2 linked regions of the Coturnix japonica genome follow. The protein of the gene in region 1 interacts with the protein of each later gene in a pairwise test. Links are inferred from orthologs where the notes say so. Each region holds a gene or a part of one and is shown on either strand. Other genes may lie near its edges. The genes, in order: KLHL2 and TMA16.

Evidence for each region.
Region 2: the proteins of KLHL2 (region 1) and TMA16 interact in binary tests that used the Homo sapiens proteins (3 or more experiments, as listed by UniProt). The two-hybrid records come from large-scale screens. The link is inferred for Coturnix japonica from reciprocal best matches to the Homo sapiens genes KLHL2 and TMA16.

The regions. Positions count from the first base shown.
Region 1 is NC_029519.1:20,955,557-20,963,671, forward strand, and holds the end of KLHL2 (kelch-like protein 2), read left to right. Parts: intron 1-2,147; coding exon 2,148-2,288; intron 2,289-2,467; coding exon 2,468-2,611; intron 2,612-3,292; coding exon 3,293-3,321; 3' UTR 3,322-4,417; downstream 4,418-8,115. Other genes in the region: MSMO1 (methylsterol monooxygenase 1), read left to right, coding at 5,570-5,824, 6,604-6,752, 7,523-7,649. UniProt on the Homo sapiens protein: Substrate-specific adapter of a BCR (BTB-CUL3-RBX1) E3 ubiquitin ligase complex that mediates the ubiquitination of target proteins, such as NPTXR, WNK1, WNK3 and WNK4, leading most often to their proteasomal degradation.
Region 2 is NC_029519.1:20,542,543-20,551,890, reverse strand, and holds the start of TMA16 (translation machinery-associated protein 16), read right to left. Parts: upstream 5,808-9,348; 5' UTR 5,719-5,807; coding exon 5,716-5,718; intron 5,131-5,715; coding exon 5,018-5,130; intron 344-5,017; coding exon 306-343; intron 1-305. UniProt on the Homo sapiens protein: Involved in the biogenesis of the 60S ribosomal subunit in the nucleus.

The sequences.
Region 1 (8,115 bases):
GTGGTCAGTCCTAGTGTTTTTAGGTACTTGCTAAAAAGAATTTTGTTCCTGTATTAAATCTATGGATCTCTGTTCATCTCGAGGAACTTTAGCCCATCTCTTCTGTTCCTACTGCTTCATCTTCATTCAAAAGCAACTTCAGAGGTTAACCCTCAGTTAATCTTCTCTAGTACCAACTGCATCTCAGTTGATCAAGTGGGGACAAATCTGTTTCCGGCAACATATTGGGATGAGGAACTTCAGATTCAGATATAGGCCGTTTGGGAGGGATGAGAGAGGTAAGACAGGGTCCTGAAAAATGGGCAGGAAAGAAAAATAACAGGAGAACTCTGAAGACGGCAACAAGAAGATACAGACGGAAGGAGCAAGAAATAAGGTAGGACTTGGAAATGGGGTGTGGGGTTAAGGGAAAATGAAGGGCCAAGGAGAAATGAACGACATTTTCAAAAAGAAAATGAATTGCCAAATAAAAAATGGCAATATGGCAGAGGAAAACTATATATGCTATATAGGCAGGTCAGAAACTGGAGAGAAAACTCAGGTGGGGAAGAAAAATATCAATGAAGCACATTCTTTTTAGTTATTTGCTTGATCTATGTCACGTTGCACATTTAAACTAAAAATCTTAGCCATCCTAGCTCTATCATGTTTAACATTACCAAAGATGAATGTTGTATTATCCTGTCTAATAAAGTGAGATCAGAGTGGGAGAAAGAAAAGCTGTCACTTTGTACTGTGACGTGATAGCTAGAAATAATAGCAATCAAGGAGGAATTAAATTAACAGGGATGGGTACAGGCAAATGTCAGTAGTGAATGTCACTGACAGAGCACTAGATAGCATGATTTATAAATCAGTGTCATATTAAGACCTACTTTTCAGATTTGCGATACTATTTAACTCTTCCATGTTTCCTTCCCCTTTTCCTTTAGTTATTGAAAGCTGTTGTTGTTTTCTATATGAGAATTGTTTCCGCAGGATTATTTTCTCTTCCCCTCATAGTATAGGAATGGCCCATACTCACAATCTTAGTGATATATTTTTCAAAGATGTTTTGGCTGGTTTTCAAGGTCTCAGAACATTTTTTTTTCTTAAGCCACATTTTTTTTTTTTTGGTCTGAAAAACTTCATATTTGCCATTTCCTTTCCTTTTTAATACATGTTTTAAGCTGTGCCCTTTTTGTGGAACTCTTTAATAACTATCTTGGCAAATTTGTATCATGCTATTTAAACTTTACAATCTCAAATATAACACGTAATAAGTTTCCCGGTGTACTTTCATAGTAATGATTTTTAATTATCTTTATGGTCCATCATTTGCAAGTTTTAATGCCAAAAAATTGCACTTCTGAAACCCAATATGTTTGGGTTATAACAGTGCATTATAAAGTGAGGCATAAACTAACAGGCCTCCCTTTTTGTTTCCTCTGATACCATCTTTTCTGTACGTGCAGTCTAACTAGCAAGTAGGCCTAGACTAGCTACTTCATCCCAAGCTTATAGATTGGTAAAATGTTGTAAAGGGGATGCTAGGATTAAAGGAGATCCAAAAAATACTTCTGGATAATTCGTTAGCTAAAGCTTGGCTCGAGGAAGTTTTGTGTTCTCCTCCAGATCTGCAGGAAGAAGCTACTCACTGTAATTGTTTACTTTTGTTTCATACATGTTTATAAGGTGGTATCGTAGCACTTCAGTGGAAGCATTCCTGTTGTTTAATGTCTGTCCATTCAGCTTTACTGTACTGCATAGTATTTATATTCTAAAAATTCAGTTCTGCTTTATCATTTTATCAGATTTCCTTTATGTTGACTGAGCATACTGCATTATTTACTATCATTTCTAATTAGTCCTAAACTCCAGCAGTCCTCCTATTTCTGCTCATCATCCTTTCATCCAAAGTTTTTTAAACGTTATGTTGCAGAACACCTCTGGTTTCTGTATGCTGCAATATGGATGGGCATGCAAGACATTTTATCAGTGTCTTGCATTAGTTTACTGTCTCTTGCTTTATGTATCCTGACCTAAATGTCTTCTGAAATAATTCCTAACATTGGATGAATGATTTGTTTTAGCAGATCTTTTTTTGTTTTCTTGGTATCAGTCAAATTACGCTGTAGTTAATTTTGAGTATTTTCATGTGTTCACAGGTGTTGGTGTGTTAAACAATTTACTGTATGCGGTAGGTGGTCATGATGGGCCTTTGGTAAGAAAAAGCGTGGAAGTGTTCAATCCCGTCACCTGTACATGGAAGCAGGTTGCAGATATGAACATGTGCAGAAGAAACGCAGGTATGTACTACAGTTACTCTAAAATGCTAGCAGTAAAATTAGGTGCAAATGGGATGCTCCTTTTTCTTTTAAATGGCTTTCTGCTTCTTTGATGATGTCACAGCATGGAAATCATGCTTTCATGGGTATGAATGAGCTGATCATTAACTTTCATGATTGGTTTCCTGTCTTTTTTTTAGGCGTTTGTGCTGTAAATGGTCTCTTGTATGTAGTTGGAGGAGATGATGGTTCCTGTAATTTATCAACAGTGGAATATTATAATCCAACAACTGATAAATGGACAGTTGTGTCATCTTGTATGAGTACAGGAAGGAGCTATGCAGGTAACGTTATCTAGGGTTTCTTTTTTTACAGTATATTGAGCTGCAGCCGGGATAAGAAATTTGAAGCATTCAAGCAAAGCACTGTGTAAAATAAAAGCTAAGATACTAGAATGGGCATGAAGAATTTGATGGTTAATTTTGAATATAGACTTCAAACAATTAATTCACTAAAAATGAAAAAGGTATTGAACTGTATTGAAGAGGAATTTAGCATGTAATGATGAATTAGAAGACTCCAGTGTGACCAGTCCCTTTTTTCCTCAAACACGCTTTGTAATTGTCTCAATTTCTAGCGGTCCAATTCTGAAGTTCTCTGTGGGAAATTGCTATGTAGAAAACAAGAGCAGTTTTAGGAATCTTTTCTTTTAATAACTGCAGTTTCTTAAGTTATTACAGTGTATGTAAAGGATATATTAATTATAAGGGTAAAGTTGATTTCCCCACCCCCACCCCCCCGCCTACCCCAAGTAACAGAAACATTCAGAAATCTACACTGATTCATATAACTTTGTTATATAATCAATTATTATTTGATATATATGTATCAAATGTACTATTAAAAATTAGACAATAACATGAACAATAATAATAGCCTGCAACTAGCATAATATTGAAAAGCTGTGCATCACCATCAAGGTTTCCCTGTTTTCCCTAGACTTACACCTTTCTTCCTTACTCTAGGTGTTACAGTTATTGACAAACCATTATGATCGATAAGGGGATCTTCAATTTGATTGTGCACTAGAAGCAGCCTTCAACAAGTGTATTTGAAGTGACTGAGTACCTAAGCACTTCTCTACTTGTAGCTGCACCTTGAGTCACAGTGGAAGATGTGACCGTCTACAATTGCAGATGATGGATGATGAAGATTACTCTAGGTAGAAGCAATGCGTAGGACTACTCTGCGGTTGAACAGGGGCTGACTGGATATTTGAAGTGTAGTAGGCCGTGTCTTTTTTTAATTGCAAGATCTTCAAACACTTAAAGCCACTTTCATAAGGACAGACTTATGTCAGTTGTGGCTGAGAAACAGGTTGTCAGTGGAGAATGGTGTGTATTCTGGTGAAAGTAAATTTGTCTTATTTTTTCCAGAGACTAATAACCATGTTTAAAGAAATGAACTGTCAGTCTTCATAGTAGGTATCGAATTCCACCTCAGTAATTTAAGCTGGCATGGGGGAAATTTGTTTCCTTTTATAAGACTTTTGTTACGTAACTATGATATGTGTATATGTACGTGTGAGCATAAGTTGCTTTCTATTGAAATTCTTCAAAAACCAACTTTATTATTTATAATTTGGCACAGTACTTTGAATATGCCCGTACTATGTTGTAAAAGAGAGTTGTATTTTTTGATATTTAACAATACTTAACACTACTAATTCCCACTGAAGGAGATCAGAGCTGGTATAATGATTCCTGGACAGGTGTAATTTCGAGGTCTTTTTAATAAAAATGTTGTCTGTACTTAATGTTGTTTTTTCTTTCCCTGTTCAATTTTGGTCACATTTAGATGTTACTTCTTTCTTACCTTTTTATGCGAAAAGTGATTTGGCATGAAAATAACCGAAAATTTATAATGAATGTGTGAAATTAAGTTGAACTTGCATGGTACTAAGGTCTCTTAATGCGTGTAACCTTAGCTTCTGTTAGCTAATACCTGGATATACTGTATGTGGCCATGTTCATAGAGCAGCTCGTTTCTATTCCTTCTTGGACGGCCTCCTTTTAACACGACCAAAGTTATTGTCATATTTGAGATATTTTCTTCAAATAAACAATTTGTATATGGTTTCCTAACGCCAACCGACTGCTTAAAGCTTGTGTTTCTCCATACAGAAAACGGTTTCTCAGCTGACATCAGGGCACCGACTGCTTAAAGCTTGTGTTTCTCCATCCTACACCTCAGCTGACAGCAGGGAAGAGATTTTGGGGGAGAAAGGCTGGTTTTGAAAAGACCTGAGTGTTAGTTATTGCTGAGGCTGAAAGTGCTCACGTAACTACCAGGGAGGTTTCTGAAAGCGTTTTACTCAAGCCATTGCACTGCAATTTTCTCACTCCCTTTCCTAGAACGAGGAAACGTTATCCGGCCTCGCCCCGACCCGGAGAGGAAAAACCCCATATCGGGTTCAGGGCAGCACCCCCCCACCCGCCCTGCCCACCTGCCGGCCCGCCTCCTCCTCATCACCTCGTGCACGTCACCCGGCCGCCCGCCCGCCTCATTGGCCACGCTCCGAGGTCTCACTATCCTCACTCCACCCCTCCAGCCAATCGCCGAGCGCGCACACAGCTCCGGCCCTCCCTCTCTCACGCCTGACTCTCCGCCGCTACCGCTGGCCAGCCAATGGGAGCCGCGCCGGGGTTACCGGGCGGCCAATAGGAGGGCGCAGGTGAATAGCCGGCCGCGCGCCGCTTGTTATTGCTGCCGTCGGCCGCGGTGTGACAGGGCCGGGACTGCGCTGAGGTGAGCGCGGGGCGCCGGGGGCCGCGGGATGAATGGGGGGACGAGTGGGGGGACGAGTGGGGGCCGTGAGCCGACGGCAGAGGGACGGTCGTGGGCCGCGCTGGGGTGCCCTGGGCCGCTCTGGGGTGTGCCCGGCCTCGGCTGTGCGTGGGGCCTGGGGACCGGGCCGGGCGTCTCCCTGAGTTCCACCCCACGGCGGCTGTGTCGCTGTCTGCCTTTTGTACCCGTCTGGAGGTTTATGCTTTTATGCTGTGCTTCAGAAAAAGGACTTGGTGTAGGGAGCCTGCTTTGGCAGGGGGGTTGGACTCGATGATCTCTAGAGGTCCCTTCTAACCCCTACAATTCTGTGATTCTGTGATCCGTATTAACCTGCTCCTCGGTTTTTAGCCTCTTTCTGAAGAATAACTGCTGTTTATTCGTCTTCTCTTAAAACACCCAGGTTACGCACAGACGGCTGTGGAAGATCTGTGACTGTGATGTTTTGTGCTTGAACGATGGCAACGAACGACAGCGTTAATATCTTGAACTCTGCTTATCTGGCAGTGGAATATATAGACTCTTTCCTGCCTGACAATCCTCTGCAGCAACCATTTAAAAATGCTTGGAATTACATGCTGGACAACTACACCAAGTTCCAAATAGCGACATGGGGGTCGCTTTTAGTTCATGAAGCTTCATACTTCTTGCTCTGTGTACCTGGATTCATCTTTCAGTTTATACCCTACATGCAGAAGTATAAAATTCAGCCGGTAAGACATAGTAGTGGACTGCACACTGATCTACCTCGAAACACATGAAATCAAGCATGTGGCTGCTGTTGGTTTCCATTTCATGTGGCCATGTTTGCTCAGTCACTGTGAACAATCCAGAAGGAACAGAGGAAACTTAAAGTGTTTGTGAGGGGATGCAGAGAAGTGGGTTTGGGGAGGCAAAGGAGTTTTTTCAGAGTGAGAGTGTATCCTTTCCATCCTCAAGAGGTAGAGAACAGGTATGTCAGCCTTCATAATAGGAACTGGAAGTAATACAACTTTCTGGAGTTGCCACAGTGATTTAATAAGGTGTCTTCCTGCAGAACCTCTTTTTTTGAAGACAGTTTAATTCTTCACGACTTTTTATCTTCAGCTTCTGTTTTATTCTTTTAGCTATGGCAACACTTTGGTGCAAAGAAGAAAAAATAAGTTAGATTTGTGTCATTCAACACACTTAATCTGATATGTTCCTGCTAATTATAATTACTGAAGTAACAAGAATAGTTTTGGGGGGAGGGGGGAGGATGGGGGGGAGGGCTGGCAAGGACAACTTCTGATGAGACACTTCAGAAAAGTAGTTTAGAAAAGTGAGAGCCTTTGAAACCAAATCCAGAGCCATGAAACTGGTGTTCCCTGGGATAATTTGCGTGATGGGAAGACTGGCTGTCTGTCTTGTAAGGTGAAAGGAAATTGCCTTTGAAGTCATCTTTGTGGCACTTTGGTTACTCTTGATAGAAATGTATAACTCAACTCATTTTTCTTTTTTTTTTTTTCCTTAGGATAAACCAGAAACGTGGGAAAAGCAGTGGAAGTGTTTCAAAACGCTTCTCTTCAATCACTTTTTCATTCAACTTCCTCTAATCTGTGGCACGTACTACTTCACAGAATTTTTCAACATTCCATATGAGTGGGAAAAGATGCCTAGGTGGTACGTAGATATGTCTTGTACATTCATAATGAATGACACTTACATATATAACAAAAACCGTATTGGAGTTTGTGACATTAACGTAACTTTTTAGGCTAATAAACTATGCTTGCTAACCACTCTTGAGACTAAATTGCAGTGGGAGCTAATTAGAGCTTCCTAGAGTCACAGCAGCTTGTGTAAGATATCAGGTGGGTGGTGTGCTATGGGTTTGTTTTTATTTTTAAATCCAGCTGTTTTTTTTTTTATTTTCTATTATTTCCTCCTAAGTGTTTCTTAGCTCCACCTTGTTTTATTCAGCAGCAGCAATGCGTTACTGAAGGGAGGGGAAACTGCCTCGTGTTTCCCTCTTTTGCCCTAAACTGGTGAGAAATGCTGCAATACTTCGAAATGCCTTCTTTTCTTTCCCACCAGTAGTTGTTTTCTATAACAGAGGGCCATCTTTTTTAGTTGTTTTCTGTCTGTTTAGGTATCCAGTGTGGTTTCTGTATCTAGATCTTAGATTGCAGGTATTCCTTATAGGCTGTATGTGTGATGTTGAAATGACAGCTTGCTACACTACACATAAACTCTGATATATCAACAGATGAGCTATAAGGGCTAATGTGTATTTTTACATAACAGTGCATTGACATTATCTTTTCAACCAGTAATACATGCAGTTCCTACCTCTACTAGCTCGTCAACTTCTTTATCTTTCAAGGCTGCATATTTGCAATTATCTGCTATAACTCTTAACTCTTCAATTTCTTTTATTTTCATTTTTGAAGGTATGTTTTGCTTGCCCAGTGTTTCGGATGTGCAGTGATTGAAGATGCCTGGCACTATTTCCTGCATCGACTGCTGCATCACAAAAGAATATACAAGTACATCCATAAGGTTCACCACGAGTTTGTAGTATGTATTACTTGATTTTATTTTATTCTATTACTTTTAGTGTATGCAGATTCATACAGCTTGTTTAAAGACTTTATTCAGCAGACTTAAGGGTTTTGTATCCTTCTGACTGCAGTCTTTCCTTGTGCTCAGCGTCGAACACAGCCATCCATTTTGTTTCTGATAGCACCACCTGTTATTTGATTTTATTTAAAGAGAATGAAATGGAGCGCTTTTCAAAGCGTAGTATGCGCCTGCTTCCTAGGGGGGAGAGATGGGCTGGGTTTTCTGGTTATGGCTGTCACTTGACATTGCTGCAAACTGATGGATATATGGTGATGTACTTACATATGTATAATTACTTATATATATATATAAAATGTAAGTAATTATATATGTAAATATATATATATAAAATTATTATATAATATATATAATATAAATATATAATTATATACACATAATTATATATATAATGTAAGTAATT
Region 2 (9,348 bases), about 410 kb from region 1:
AATTGCAATAAATATATATATTCAAAAGCAGATGGTTGGTTTACATTGACCCGTTATAAACAAGCTTAATCTTTATGTAATCTTTCTGTAAAGCCCAATCTTTGGTCAAAAACTGAATTTCAGCTCCTCTATGTACTACTTCAGAGAATGTGTTGGGTACTTCAGCAAATCTACAACGTCTATCCTACAATTATAGAGTCAGATTATAGAGAAAGACACTCCAATTGGAACAGCTATAAAGGGAGTAACAAAATTATATCATAGAAAGTTGTGTAATGTATTTGGTAATAAACGTTTCTGCTCACCAATAATACTCAAACGTAAAGCTTTCTCAGTCTTCAACCTAACGGAAGAAAACAAACATGTTAGCCAGGAAAGAGTACAGTGCAAATAGTTATCTTCATTTTCCTTCTTAAAAAAAAAAAAATATTACTTAGATGAAAGTCAAGGTAAAATTACAAACAGAAATATCTGCCAAATGTAGAACAACAAAGCATCATACTACTATTTAATAAACTTCTAAATAATTAAAGCTAGTGCTTAGTGAACAGTAAAACACTTAAGTGAGAAGTTAATGTGTTAAGAAAATGAAACTAAGAGTTCATTTCTTAAAATACAAACTATAAAGAAAATTAATCTGAAAGTATTTTTCACTCCACCTCAGTATGCGGTAGGATAATGAAGCCTTCTGTATTGTGTAGGATGTGTTTACACAATTCAGCTTGGGATCAGTTCCTGTCCTACTAAGAAGTTCTCAGAGACAACAAGTTTTCTAACAGGCCTTTTGCATTTAGTCCTGGAGCTCTCAAACTCATTTTGCAGCAAGGAATGTTGTCGAATTTCACTTTACTTCCAGAAAGGAATGGAATTGACAGCTGGGATAAGTATAAAATTTGCTGCTGGAAAAAAGTATATTTGCATGTTCACCATATATATTCAAGGACTTGATATATTATTAAGACTTTTTCTGTTATTTAATAAGAAAATCGCTCATGAATAAAATAAGGATATATTTTGAAAGGCCAACTATCAAAGTTCAAGACAGTTCAAAGCTACGTGCTTCTGTATTAAATTCTTCGTACTCTGTGGAATCTAATGAGCATTTCACTGAAGTAACTTAGTGGACAAAAATATTTCATCTGTTAAAAAAAACATATTCAGATCAAAAGAGAAAGTCCTGCTTCCTAGAAACCAGAATACTTAGCTCACTTGGCCATTAACCTACACTACTAAAATAAAGATTCGCTTTTTCAACTAGTATTTTATTCTCTGAAAAGTTCCTGAAAGCCACATACAAACCAATGCGCCTCCAAGTTGCTAAGATTTTCACTAACACATTAATGGGAAGCTGCTTTTTCTTCTCAACTGTTACAGATGCCACAGCATCTAGGATAAGATTTTTTAAAGTAAAAAACATACAGGAGACAAATAAGCAGGATGAGTGTTATCATACCTGCAAAAAGCTGTCTGGCTAATGAAATTTAATGTTTAACCAGAAATGACATCAGGGTTAAAGGACAGATCTGAATGAGACTTTGTAAAAACAAAGGAAAAAGGATTAAGATTAGAAGTGAGCTGTAAAATTCTGCTGTAGGAGATTTCTTCAAGATAATTATGGTTGATATCCCATGGAGGGCTTACAGCACACAGCATGGAGTTTTGACAGGTCACAGTGTGCATGGAAAGGATTTGTATTTCCATGCAGTAGAGCTGCACACCAGCAGTCTCAGCTGTGAATATGGCATGGCAGCAAAGCGAGCCAAGCACATCTGCAATGAGTTGCCATGGAGAAAACTACAATGCCATCAAGAAAAGCTCTCTCATTCAAATCATAAATAACACCATCTATTTATGGTTTACAACACTAAAAGCCACCATTTGGACCTGCAGTGCTCAATGGATCACTTTTTTGTCTAGGCAATTATGTACATAATCAGGCTTATTTTCTGGCAGAAAAGCCTTCTTTATTAAGGAGTACACAACTTATCTCAGTATGAGAAATACGAGAGGATATGATCAGTTACTGCCTCACTGTACTTTTCCTAAGAGCATTACCTCAACACCTGCTAGAAAAAAACAGGGAAGCGAATCAAATAAGGCAAGGCAAAGACAGTTCCTCTCATCTCCTTCCACACAATGAGTAACATCTTTTACTCAAGGGGAAGAGAAGATAAGGGCAGGATTTCAATCTTGCAGCAAGCTCTTAACTCTGAATGAAAGAAAAAAAGTAAATGATACGTTTAGACACTGATTATGGAAAAGGATGATGAAAGGTTTTCTTGAGGTTTAGTAGATATTGTGTGAAGAGCAACACAGGGAAGAAAAAAGTGTGATTCAAGTGGACAAGTTGGCTGAAGACTGCAGTCAATTTTCTCAAACCAATTGGTCTGTCACACCTTATTACGATAAGGGCTGGTCTTTTGTAGGACAGATAAAGTTTCTGGACAAGCTTATTATTTCCTTCATACTTCACTGCGCATGCTCGCATTGAAGACTATTTGGATGACAGAGGCGATCAAAGACTTCTGTAACTTAGAGAATTTCTCCTTCCATCTTCCCCAGTGTCACACTGTAAAACTGAAATTGCATGTGCAGGTAACAATGGGTAATTCATTTGTTTGGACACAGAATTTATAGACAGAACACTCTGCTATAACAATAAGCTTTGGATGGCCCATGTTGACACACTACTTCTGGCAGAATAGTTTCTGTATGAGAAACAAAGGGTTATATTGATTACCATCAGATTAAAGAACTTGCACCTGAAACAGTAAGAAAGCTTGGAAAAGGCAGCAATCAAGACACAGAGCCTAAGACAGCAATCTACATCCTCTAATCTTGAACTGTTCAGCATGTCTGCTTATTAAAAAATAAAAATAAAAAGCTTTTAGCATTCAAAACAAAGAGAGCTTAAGGGAGAAGAAAGCCCTCTACTCTTTCTAATCTTAAACTGAGACATTCTCTGAAGACACTAGGCTTCCCTGATATTTAACAGAATTAAGGAGGAAGCAGCTGCTTTTTCACTGACTTGGTTGAAACACCCTTAATTAGCCGGCTGGGCAGCCAGTACTTAACGGTTTTCCATAAAATGGTGCCTTTTCCTCAGGTTAACCCATTACACATATCAAAAGGGGTCTGTCTGTTTCACTTGGAAGAATACTGCTATGACCAGCTCCTTTTACTGCACTTCAAAAGAGCAGAAAGGCTAATTTTGCTGTTAAGTCTCTTAAAAAGGAAATAAATCCTTTTATAAATAATTTTATTTCCTTTATGTGAAATTCCTTGTTAAAAAGCAATTACGTTTACAAAATGAACTTTTTCATGATGAAAAGTAACTAAATGGTAAAACAAATGGGAGAATGCCAATTCCAGTAGGAGGTAGATTGTTTATTATTATTATTTTCTGCTTCTTTCTGTTCTAAACAGAAACAAACAAAGCACTTAAACAAGAATTTCTTAGTACTGGTGTCTACATCAGAATAATTCTACCCACACAAACAAATCAGAAGAAGATCTGATTAAGTGTGCCACATCACAATGAATAATCACAACATCCTTTACACACTGAGTGTTTTGTGTACATTTTTGCTTTCAGCGAAGAAGCAGATGTAAGCAATGAAAATCAAATATGATTTGGTTACCTTTCATGATTAAGCTCTCTAAGTGGCAGTTAAGAGCCAAGAAGAGTTTATCTAAGGGACGAGGTAGTCAATTTAGCACTTAAGAAAACATTTATGATCACTAATAGCACTCAGTTGAAACCAGCAGTCAGACAGCACAGACAATATAAAGCAGCAGGGAAGACTTCTTGCATGCTAAAAAACTGCAGGAATTTCTACATGTGCTGCTTGTAAACTCTTGTAGCAGCTCTGCTGAGGCAATGTGACATAGTTGTGCTTGTAAAGGGCCCCTTCCCAGGTACAAAAAGGTACATATTTGTGCTGTGTAAGGCTGTACATCCATCCCCAACCATAAAAGTTGCACAGACTCTGAGGAACATTTTAACTGTACCAGGAGCTCCCAGTGCAACATCTTCAGACATTTAAGTATTTTTGTTTAGTGTTCGTGGTCCTTCCAAATTATACCTTGACAGAAAATGCCTGAAGTTCACTTGAAGAGCTTTGTACACAATCGTAGCGAATCAGTGTTCAAGGAGCTGGTCTATGCATGAGAGAGACCAAGCTGAGACAGACTGGAAATTGAATGCAAGTCCTGTATAGCTATCTCTTCCTTCTGCAGAAGGGGAAATGAAAGCTAAAAGAAAACTGAACTTGCCATGAAACAGCAAAACATCATCCAAAAGGTGTCAAATATTAGGTTCACTTAGAAAGCTCCTGCTGGCTGGGGCAGATACCAGTGAGGTTGTTTTCAATGAATTCAGCACAAGAAGGTAGGCCCACGTAAAACTTGGAGTAAAGTCAAGCCAGGTGACTAAGCTTCATTTGATGTCACTAGCACAATGCCATTGAGACTACAGTAAGCAAAATACTCACTTGCAATGCAAAAACCTTGCTTAAAATGCAAAAATGCAGTAGTTGAACTACATACTTCAAGATTTTGTGTATATAGTTGTATGGGAAATTGGTAATCACAGCCTGAACCTCCGATTAATCAGCTGAGGCAAGTGTCAGGTCAACTGTGGGAGCACAGGTGAGAGTAATTTAGCTGTGCTCCCAGAAGGGGTAGAGCCTGACTCCACCTCCTCTAGACCTCATTTATGGGCTGACCACCACTGTGGCAGCATCTCTTGGAGACTGCTCCCTGGTGGAGATTGCCTCAGCATTTCCCAGAGAAGGTGTCCATATTGGTGAGTTTTTCCCTATAAATAACCTTTTGAATATCTGTTATCATCTTTGTATTATTCTGTCTTACAGTAATTATGTCATTTCACACAGCCTAGCACTGTTATACAGATCTTTAAAATAAAAGCTTTATTGTACCAGTCTCTTTTCACCAACATTCCCAGCTAAAACACACACTGTCCTTCAGCATGTATGTAAGTTTACCCAGTACTTACTTCTCTTTCTTATCCTTTTTGTGTGCTTCCCTAGCGAGTTGTGCAGCTTTCCTACTGTAAGGATGGACAGCTTTTTTCTCTTGCTTCCCTCCTTTGGTTTTTTGCAATTTTGGCTGAAAATAAATGAAATAAAACTTTAAAGAGAAGATAGGAACACGTGCCAAGTGAAGACCTAAAAGCTCATGCATGTACATCATCTATGTCCAGATGTGGGGTCCTCAGTAAGGAAAGAGGCAGATCTGCTGGAGCACATCCAGATGAGGGCCACAGAAATGATCCCAGAGATGGAACACTTCCTTGAAGACAGGCTGAGAGCTGGGGCTGTGCAGCCTGGAGAAGGCTGGAGAGGTAACCTGAGAGTGGCCTGTCGGTATCCAAAGGGGAGGGCTATGTGAAAGAACGGGACAAGCAGGGCACAGGACAAGGGGAAAGAGTTTCAAACTAAGCGAGGGAGGATTAAGACTGGATATAAAGAAGAAGCTATTTACACTAAAGGCGATACGAGCACGACACGAGCCCTCTGCCTGCTACCGGAAAGTCTTACACGATCGCGAATTAGCCGGGCCGAGCCGCTGCGGGCCTTTCCCCCCTCCTCCCCCCGGTCCCGTGCTTAGCAGCCGGCGGTACCGCCTTCCCGCATCGAGCTGCTCCCGGCAGGAAGGACCGCTCGCACCCACACACCCCGCACCATCACGCACCATTGCGAACGCGTTCTCTCTACGGCCACCGTCCGCACGGTGCTACTGCCAAAGAGATCCGGGCGGGCGGCAGTGCAGCGAGCACGCGGTTCCGGGGCGGGTCAGTATGTGGCCAGGTATATCTGTATAGCCTGCATGTGTCTTAAAGCACGAACCGCTTCTGACTCTGCTTAAGCTTCTGTCCAGCCTGAAGAATAAATCCTTATAACCATTAAAATGTATTGTTACGTTGTGCACTTGCAACGCAAATTAAGATAATAAAGAGGAGCTTAAGATATTCTAACTTTTTTATGTCTTCCATAGTGAATTGAGTTTGCTGCCCATTAAACTTTTCTGGTTATCTTCTGATCCAGATCTCTTCTGGATATTTCTGGATGTTTTCACTGTACACACAGTAGGAATGGAAACATAATAAAAGAAATCTTGGGCAATTAAGAAAATAGTTACTGAATTAACCCAAAGATTTCGTTTTTCTGTGGGAGAGAGAAAAAATGTGAAATGATGGAAATCTCATAGTCTTGTGTACCAGAGAAGTTTGAATGGGAGGAGATAATTATGTATATTTTGTTCTGTTGCTGATTCAGAGTGATCTCTTTCTTTCCTGTTTCTTTCAGTCTCTTTCACTTCAGGTCCTGGACCTGCTGCAACTGAAGCTGATGTGTGAACATATTGTATAATATTTTAGTTGAGGTAACTCTGGCAATTCTGTTTTATCTGAGATTCATGGAAACAAGTATCACTTCTAAGATCTTATGAGGCTCTCAGCATCTCCTCTAGCACGCTTACATATAATTTATGATTTAGTTATTTATACTGATATTTTTTTTCCTTTTTTTTTTCCTGCTTTTTGTTTGTTTGTTTGCTCGTTTAACTTAGAATAGGCTTTCTCTTCACTGCAATAAGTGAATGCCACAGCCTCATGCATAGCTAAAACATACATATCTACTCATATACAACTCTGCTATTTTCAGTTTAAAATCACATAATTAAAACAAAAAAACAAAACACAAAAAACCAGCATTACACTACACCATATTACCATGAGAACTCGTCCTAGAATGTTTCTTTCTTATTAGATAGTCACCTTACTTTTGAGTTTCAAGCTGTAAGAGTTATGTTGGAATAGTCCAGGTAAATGTGCTCAGACGCATCACTATATGCCTACAGATGACAAAAGTAAGGTTCTGCTTTAGCTGAGTGCCTTGTTTTCCTCAGTAGACATATAATTTCCTTGTAAACATTATGCATTCTTAATAATTTGTCTGATTATCTCTGTAGGCTTTTAATGTGGAATCTTTTTTCTCATCAAATATTTTTTTTTTCCCCAATTTCATTAATGTCTGTTTAAAGGAATTAGCATTGTATAAGGAAGTAATGAAGAGTTTGGACTGTTTAAAGACTTTGGAGTCTGTAATTTCCAGAGACTGAATTATTTTGCCCTCTGCAAATTGTCAAGATCAAGCTTCTAAAATCACCAAAGCATGCCAAGACCCATAGGTACCATATCCAAATGTGTTTAATCCTTAAAAAGAAATTCTTATGCTGGAATGGAAAAAATGCTTGTTTTGATGGTGGATCTCCCCTCAAGAAAGTGGGTGGTTAGCTTTATCAGTTCTTAATAATGTAAAACAACAAGTGCGCTTCTTTCAGCAAAAACATTTTGTTGGACTCATTTTTGTGTGTATGTAAAGGAAGGTGGGAGGCAGATGAATGAGATGACACTTTTCTTGGTGGTGTGTAGCAATAGGACAAGGAATAATAGCCTAAAACTTGTACATAGGAGTTTTTCATACTAACATGCAGAAGAACCTCTTTATGATAAGGATGAAGGAGCACTGGAACATGTTGCCCAGAGAGGTTGTAGAGACTCCTTCTATGGAGACAATCAAGACCCGTCTGTACACCTACCTGTGTGACTCATTGTAGGGAACCTGATTTAGCAGGGGGGTTAGACTTGAGGTCCCTTCCAATGATTGTGTGTGGTTCAGTGATCTTCATGCTAAATAACGTCAAATTCTAGAAAATAAGACTCTGATGCTTATTGCTCAAGTCAGGACCCAGAATCCCCTTGCTCACTGCTGTTTATACTTGGAAGCTAATTTGTAGGGGTTGGCAAAAACACGGCTCCTTCCCCAGAGTATCTGTTACAGCATCTTTGAGTAGCCTTACTGCTAGTAATCACTTCCTGCTATGCTGAAGTTGCAGAATGTGTATTTTCTATTTAAATGGCCCATGAAGTTGTGAGCTTAGACAAAAATCTTCACACCAATTAACTCATCTTCTGCATGAAAACACTAAGAACCTGAAAGTTCTCAGTTTGACTTTCAGTGGTAAAAAGGCAAAACACTGCAACAGAGTAGCTATTCCTTAAAGCTTAGCAGCCATATGCTGAGCTTTTATGAGCTGGCACTGCTGAGAAACTTTAAATATGATTTAGCGGTGCTTTTCATTCTTTAGGGAAAACGGTAAGCCAAGTTATAACTCCAGAGGATTCAGGTCTTTATTACTTGTAAGATAATTAAACCAAGCAGAAGAAGCAACTAAAACCATAGTGACATTAACTGAAACAGCACAGTAGGTTTATATATGTATATAGAAATATGAAAAAAAATGGGATTTTTTTCAGCTGTAAAAGTGAATTCATAGAAATGAATGGTGCCTTTTGGGGCTATGTGAAATGTTACTAACAATTGCTGCAAATAATAAACAAAATGGTAGCATATTTTTTTTGCATTGCAAACAAATGTAACCCTGACTTCCATAAAAATCTAAGTTGAACTATTATGCATCAAAATTGCCCGAGTTCAAGCTGTAGCACAATCTCACTTGAAGTTTGTCAGCCTTTAAATTCAACATGGTGTTGTCTTGTGTGTACAAACCACATACCTGTTTTGGAATGTCCAGAGATCACTGGCTGAGCTGTGTAACAACTTTACTCTTCTCTCGTCCTTCAGAAACCACAAAGTACCAAATGATGTTGGGCACCAGTATTTTTTGTTTGTCGTTTGCTGGTTTGTTTTGGCTTTCCTGAGATTGAATCAGATGTGGGACCCTTAGGGTAAGTATTCAAGTAGCCAGTTAATGCTGTGTTCAGAATAAGACTCAGAGCTCCAGAAAAAGTGAAGAATTTATTGTGTGATCTACCCGGAAGGAACTTGTTTGTCTGAGTTTCTCCCAGACATTACATTTATCATGCAACATATTTACTACAAATAGTGTTTTTTTAATTTTATTTTTCATTCTTATGTTATCAGCCAGAACTAGAAGCTTCACAGCACAGAGCTCTGTGCCTACTTTGGTACAAGAAGCAAGAAGTATGCAATCTACTCAGTTTACACCAATTACTCAGTGTTATAATGGACAATGTGGGCAAGTATAGATGCACATCAGTTAATTTGAATTTCTCACTTATCTTTCCCCTGATAGGTAAAGCCAGTCACTTGGTCTGCATCTTCCTTCCTTTGTTATACAAGCAGATATTACTCCTTAGAACCTTCTGTACTCAGTTTCATTTTTATAAGCAGAGAAGTGAAACAGATAAATTGGTCAGACAGTAAGTTTGGTGCTGCAGAAAGAAGAGGTAATAGTTCATCTCCTTCCGATTTTCTTTTAAATTTACTTTTCCTTCATTTC